Linked DNA regions of Macaca mulatta. The protein of the gene in region 1 binds, or shares a complex with, the protein of each later gene. Links are inferred from orthologs where the notes say so. Each region holds a gene or a part of one and is shown on either strand. Other genes may lie near its edges.

What was found. The genes of interacting proteins can lie anywhere in the genome.
Region 2: ZNF541 (region 1) and SAP30 share a complex: the UniProt entries of both Homo sapiens proteins name them as parts of the histone deacetylase complex. The link is inferred for Macaca mulatta from reciprocal best matches to the Homo sapiens genes ZNF541 and SAP30.

What each region holds. Positions count from the first base shown.
Region 1 is NC_133424.1:60,038,023-60,041,522, forward strand, and holds part of ZNF541 (zinc finger protein 541), read right to left. Parts: intron 876-3,500; coding exon 817-875; intron 248-816; coding exon 88-247; intron 1-87. UniProt on the Homo sapiens protein: Transcription regulator which is essential for male fertility and for the completion of meiotic prophase in spermatocytes.
Region 2 is NC_133410.1:181,805,840-181,809,883, forward strand, and holds the end of SAP30 (histone deacetylase complex subunit SAP30), read left to right. Parts: coding exon 1-53; intron 54-3,229; coding exon 3,230-3,352; 3' UTR 3,353-3,544; downstream 3,545-4,044. UniProt on the Homo sapiens protein: Involved in the functional recruitment of the Sin3-histone deacetylase complex (HDAC) to a specific subset of N-CoR corepressor complexes. Capable of transcription repression by N-CoR.

The DNA.
Region 1 (3,500 bases):
CTGAGATAAGTGACACCAGTCTCGTTTACTCCCCACAGGCCTGCCAGAAACCCAGTAACCACAAAGCCACTGGTCGTCCCCCTTCACCTGCGGTTCCTGCTTCCCTCGAGGTGACGGCCACTGGTCGCTGTGAAAACACATGTGGCTGCTCAGTCCTTTCTCCGTATAAAACATCTGGCTGCAGTTCTTGCAGATGAAAGTGCTCCTGGGCTCCGTCCAGTCTGTGGAACCGCCATTTTGCTGGTTACTGTAGGTAGACATGGCAGGAAAGAAGGGTGGGAGATTGAGACTCCATCCTTGATCACTGATTCTTTGGTTTTTTTATCTTTTTTGTCTATAACTCCAATCCACTGACTACTCTTTTTTTTTCTTTTTTTTTTGGAGATAGAGTCTCACTCTGTTGCCCAGGCTGGAGTGCAGTGGCACTATCTCGGCTCACTGTAACCTCTGCTTCTAGGGTTCAAGTGATTTTTGTGCCTCAGCCTCCCAAGTAGCTAAGATTACAGGTGTGTGCCACTATACATGGCTAATTTTTGTATTTCTAGTAGAGACAGAGTTTCACCATGTTGGCTAGGCTGGACTCAAATTACTGACCTCAAATGATCCCCCTTCCTCGGCCTCCTGAAATGCTGGGATTACAGGCATGAGCCACCGTGCCCAGCCTGACTACTCTTGATAAACCCTACAAAATGGAGGCTGTACCCTAATCCCATTAGGACTGAGAGCATCCTCCCCACTCACTTGTCCAGGGCCAGCACAGGAAGGCCAGAGGACTCCTGTCGGGGTGCATGCAGGATTGGGGGCTTCTTAACTTACCCTCCGCCTGCCACGTTCTCTTCCTTCACTGGATGGGGAAGCCTGTAGATGTTTCCACCCTGAAGATGAAAATGCATCTGAACCAACACATCCAAAATGAAGAGGCAAGAAGAGCTCAAATTACAGACTTTCAGAAGAAAACATTGGAGTAAATCTTCATGACCTTGGATTAGACAGTAGTTTCTTAGATAAGACACCAAAGCAAAACAGACAAATTAGACTTCATCAAAATGTAAAACTTTTAGCCAGGCATGGTGGCTCATGCCTGTGATCCCAGGACTTTGGGAGGCTGAGGTGGGAGGATTGCTTCAGCCCAGGAGTTTAGGACCAGCCTGGGCAACATGGCGAAACCCCACCTTTACAAAAAATACAAAAATTGGCCTGGCATACTGGCGTGGGCCTGAGGTCCCAGCAACTCAGGAGGCTGAGGTGGGAAAATCACTTGAGCCCAGGAGTTCAAGGTTGCAGTGAGCCATGATCACACAACTTCACTCCAGCCTGAGTGACAGAGTGAGACCCTGTCTCAAAAAAAAAATAAAAATAAAAATAAAAACTTTTGTCCTGCTGGGCACAGTGGCTTACACCTGTAATCCCAGCACTTTGGGAGGCCGAGACGGGCGGATCATGAGGTCAGGAGATCGAGACTATCCTGGCTAACACAGTGAAACCCCGTCTCTACTAAAAATACAAAAATTAGCTGGGCGTGGTGGCGGGCGCCTGTAGTCCCAGCTACTCGGGAGGCTGAGACAGGAGAATGGCGTGAACCCGGGAGGCGGAGCTTGCAGTGAGTGGAGATCGCGCCACTGCACTCCAGCTTGGGCGACAGAGCGAGACTCCGTCTCAAAAAGAAAAAAAAAAAAACTTTTGTCCTGCAAATGGTATCATAAATAAGGTGAAAAGACACACCACAAATGAGAGAATATTTGCAAGTCATGTGTCAGATAAGGGTCTTGCATCCAGAATATATAGAGAACTCAAAAAATAGTAATTTGATTTTAAAAAATAAGCAAAGGACCTAAACAGACATTTCTTCTAGAAAGATACACAGATGGCCAATAAGCACATAGAAAAGAGTGCAACATCAGCAGTCACGGGGAAATACAAATCAAAACTACAATGAGATACTGCTTCACACCCACCAGCGTAGTTATAATTTGAACAAACCACAGACAATAACAAGTGTTGGTGAGGATGTGGAAAATGTGGAGCCCTCATACACTGTGGGTGGGAAGAGGAAACAAGCAAAACAGCCTAGTAGTTCCTCAGACCTGAAACAGGGAGCTGCTGTGCCACCTGGCAATTCTACTCCTAGAACATAAATCCCCATAAAAATTTGTACATGGATGAATATTCACAGCAGCACTATATTCAAAATAGCCAAAAAGTGGAAACAACCCAAATATCCATCCACGGATGAACAGACAAATGAAATGTGGCCTTATCCATCCAACAGAGGATCACTCAGTCATGGAAAGGAACGCAGCTCTGCCATTTGCCACCCCACAGATGAGCCTGGAAAACGTCACGCTGAGTGAAGGAAGCCAGACACGAAAGCCACAGAGTGCACGATTCCACTCACATGCAATGTCCAGAACAGACACATCCACAGAGACAGAAAGGAGACTCGTGGCTGCCGGGCGCTGGGGGGAGTGTGAGATTGTGGGTGACAACTAAGAAATGTGGGGTTCCTTTTGGGGAGATGAAACTGTTCTGGCAGAGTGGGGATGGTTGCACAATCTTGTGAATATACTACAAATTACCCAATGCTACGCTTTAAAATGGTGTATTCAGGCCGGGCACCATGACGCAAGCCTGTAATCCCAGCACTTTCGGAGGCCGAGGCAAGCAGATCACCTGAGGTCAGGAGTTCAAGACCAGCCTAGCCAACATAGTGACACCCCAGCTCTACTAAAAATACAAAAATTAGCTGGGCATGGTGGTATGTGCCTGTAATCCCAGCTACTTGGAAGGCCCAGGCAGGAGAATTGCTTGAACTTGGGAGGCAGAGGTTGCAGTGAGCCAAAACTGCACCACTATACTCCAGCCTGGGCAACAGAGTGAGACTCTGTCTCAAAAATAAATTTGGCCTGGCACAGTGGCTCACGCCTGTAATCTCAGCACTTTGGGAGGCCGAGGTGGGTGGATCACGAGGTCAGGAGTTCAAGGCCAGACTGGCCAAATGGTGAAACCTCATCTCTACTAAAAATAAAAAATTAGCCAGGCGTGGTGGCGCATGCCTGTAATCCCAGTTACTCGGAGGCTGAGGCAGATAACTGCTTGAACCCAGGAGGCAGAGGTTGTGGTGATCCGAGATAGCATCACTGCATTCCAGCCTGGGCAACAGAGTAAGACTCCATCATAAATAAATAAATAAAATAAATTTTAAAAATAAAATAAAGTGGTGGATTTGGCTGGGCATGGTGGTTCATGCCTGTAATCCCAACACTTTAGGAGGCTGAGACTATCGCTTGAGCCCAGGGGTTCAAGACCAGGCTGGGCAACATAGCAAGACCCCACCATCTCTAAAAAATATATAAAAAATAAAATGGTGCATTATATGGCACCTGAATAATAATGCTGTTAATAAAACAAAAATGAGGTAGCTGTGGTATGATGGGAAGCTACTCATCCTCCTGAGTAGCTAGGACCACAGGTGTGCGCCAGCACACCCAGCTAATTTTTTA
Region 2 (4,044 bases), on another chromosome or scaffold:
GACACTTCAAGCTACCAACCAGACCAGGACTTAATAAAGCACAGCTTGTTGAGGTATATATGATTTTTAAACTATTTGAACTATGCACAACCGAGAGGCTGTTAAATGCTAATGAAAGTATTAATGTAGTATATGTAACAGTACATTTAACAGTACATTTTATTTAGAAAGAACAATGTTAAAAAATCTATTGTGGAAGAATCTAGTTGTCTAGAAATGTTTGTCAGCCACTTAGGAAATTCCTTTTTGTAATGACTACTCAGCAGGTTGTGTACAGCACCTTCTGATACTGGCTTTCAAAATGTGTTGTTTGTTTTTTGAGACAAAGTCTCGCTCTGTCACCCAGGCTGGAGTGCAGTGGCACGATCTCGGCTCATGGCAACCTCTACCTCCCAGGTTCAAGCAATTCTCCAGCCTCAGCCTCCCAAGCAGCTGGGACTTCAGGTGTGCACCACCACACCAGGCTGATTTTTGTGTAATATCTTTAGTAGAGATGGGGTTTCACCATGTTGGCCAGACTTGTCTCAAATTCCTGACTTCAAGTGATCCGCCCACCTCAGCCTACCAGAGTGCTGGGATCAGCAGTGTGAGCCACCGTGCCTGGCCCTCAAAATGTTGAATGAGAGTTTTTTTTAATCCTCACTTTAGAAATCTATTAGTTTTAAAACTCCATTTAACCAGTAAATGTTTGAGCATCTAATTGAGGCATAATAAATTTAATTAGCAAGCTTTAATGTCCTTATTAAAATTTATATTTTAAAGTGGTGGAGTAGGCCTACAAATCAGCCCCTAAACAGTATTTTTATAATTTGCTGACTTAACTATTTCAAAATTGGTCCTTGTTGATGTTAGTTTTATTAGAGACATCTATGTTTTCTTCACATCTAGAAGAGGCAAAAGCTTTTCTTTTACCCAATCTTTTACTTGTAGTTTGCTTTGACAGAGGACTTCTAGTTAGTCAGTGAGTTGTGAAAGTTAATGGAGTATGCATATGTTCTCAGGATATAATAGAACCAAGAAGTCTGTGCATCTTATTAAGATGCTTATAGATTGATATATTTATATTTTAATCATATTTAAAATTTTTGCTTGCAGCTACTCAGGAGGATTGATTAATCCTAGGAGTTTGAGTCACCATGGGCAACATAGCAACACTCCATCTCTAAAAAAGAAAATTTAGCCTACTAGACAAAATAGAAGTGTAGATATATAAATCGGTTTTCTCATATTCTTTGCATGGATTTAGTAGTTACCCAACATTTTCTAAAATGTACAACATTTCATTGAATAAAATGAAATATGAATAGAAGTTACATTTATCTGATGGAACGCTTTTTAACATTGTTAAAATCTAATACATTAACTATTTAGCTAAAATTTCTTATCCTTGGTTAGGCAACACGGATCTAATTAATTTTTCTTTAATTTTGATTTAAAAGATCAAGTTCTTTTGGGGTTGTACAATACATTATGTAACGTAAATATAGATCTTGCCCACCATGATGAAATATTTCAGTAGGTACTAATGGAGTGAAGGCACCCCTGTTTTGGAACAAATGAGAACCAAAGAACTAATTATTTTAAATGTTACATTTAGGTATAAATTAAACCTGAAATTTTTGATAAACTGACCTTCTAAGAACAGTTATATTATTTCTAGAGCTATTTTCTTTTTTATACATAAGAGATAGCCATGAGTGTTATATTTTACTTAATCAGAAATGCAGTTATTAACAGGTTAAGGAATGTGGAAATGTGCAGATGTAGTACATATATTTTAAGACAGGGGTCCCCAACCCCGGGGCCATGGACTGGTACTGGTTGATGGCCTGTTAGGAACAGGTCCACAGAGCAGGAGGTGAGCACCAGCTAGCAAGAATTACTGCCTGAGCTCCGCCTCCTGTCAGATCAGCCGTAGCATTAGATTCTCACAGGAGTCCAAAACCACGTGTGAAGTGCACATGTGAGGGATCTAGGTTGTACGCTTGTTATAAGAATCTAATGCCTGATGATCTGAGGTGGAACAATTTCATACCAAAACCAACTCCCCCACCCCCAATCTGTGCAAAAATTGCCTTCCGTGAAATCGATCTCTGGTGCCAAAAAGGTTGGGGACCACTGTTTTAAGGGATTCCAGGGTTGTATGACTAAGTCTTAAGTCTCGTAATTGTTGTGTGGATGAACTTTTTTCTTAAGAAATTCTATTTTCTGGAATCTAAATATGCTTGTCAGCACCTCAGGTAAGTCTATTAATCTTCTATTCGTAATTGTAGTATGCATATTACATTAGCACAATGAAAAGGCAAGGAAGCAGGTAAACATCCTTCATTGAACATCCCTCTTTCTCCTCTCATTTCCATTCACAATTTTTATTCAGAAAAATTTTCAAGGAACCTTAACCAAAGAATGCTACCAAGATACGAATGAATGAATGTAATTTGCAGCAAATAATTTATATGTTATTGTTGATTACTACCAAAAGTTTTCAACTTCATACTTCTTTTTCTATCAGTAGGGTCTAAACCATTGCAGGTTTAATGATGCATGTGGTCTCTTACATCTGTTTTATCTCATTTAAAGTTTAAAAGTAAAAACATGTATTCCCTACTCTAGATTCCAATTATAAAATTTATTATTTTTATCTTATTTATCTTTTTTGAGACAGAGTCTTGCTCTGTCACCCAGGCTGGAGTCCAGTGGCGTGATCTCAGCTCACTGCAACCTCCACCTTCTGGGTTCAAGCAATCCTCCCATCTCAGCCTTCTGAATAGCTAGGATTACAGGTGTACACCACCACGCCTACTTAATTTTTGTATTTTTTTTTGGTAGAGATGGGGTTTTGTCATGTTGCGCAGGCTGGTCTTGAACTCCTGGGCTCAAGTGATCCCCCTACCTCCGCCTCCCAAAGTGCTGGGATTACAGGTGTGAGCCACCACTCCTGGCCCAATTATAAAATTTAAAATAAATAAAAGGAAAATGTATTTTCTAATCAATGTATAGTAAATTGAGTGAGCCAAAAGGTCCTTTGAAATCACATTATCTCTTGTTCATAACATTTTATTCTTAAATGCTTTTTGTCCTGTTGGTATTTTCTTAAATATAATTTTTAAAGGAAATAGCTCTTATCACATAGATTTTTTCTTTGGATGAAACCGTATTTTTTACCTAGTTTATGAAACCTGTTATATCTAAAATTTAATTTCCTTAATTTTTTTTTTTTTCTTTATAGATAGTTGGTTGCCACTTTAGGTCTATTCCAGTGAATGAAAAAGACACCTTAACATATTTCATCTACTCAGTGAAGAATGACAAGAACAAATCAGATGTCAAGGTTGATAGTGGTGTTCACTAGGAGACGTGGAATTGAGACTAATAACTTGGATGATAACACTGTTTACTGTTTTTTCACATGTAGAAATGTTCTTTGTGTATTTTTTCTACAGAGGATTTTCTCTGATTTTATTTTCTTTGTTTCTGACTCTAATAATTAGTTGGAAACTCATGTAAAATGAGCTTTCCTAAATTAAAAACTATTTTAAATAAAGGTTATTACTATTATAGTTGCTTCAGTGTATTTATTTTGTGAAACTTGATTTTTCTTTTAAACTGACTTAGAGATCAGTATTGATATTTTAATGTAAAGTCCTTCATTTTATAACCCCCTTTTTTTTTTTTTTGTAAACTTCCAAGAAATTAACAGGGTAAGGAGAAGTAACAAATGTAGCACATTTGCATTCTCTGGGACAATCTGACTTGGAATTGAAGATATTTTAAATAGCATTATTTTTTTTAAGTGCTTTATAATGCTAGCAAATTTGAAAAATAAGCTTCTATTGGAATACAACTTCTTTTTTATTTCCTTTTTTTTTTTGTTATTATTACTTGATGAAGTACTAGGAAGAACAAATGGTTTAATTTATATACCCACCTCGTTCCAAAGACAACTTAATGTGCCAGTGAAGATAAACACAATGCTGAAAGTCGAAATAAGAACATGAAATGAAATAGCTGTTTTTGAAAATTTTGTCTTTGGGAAAAGATATT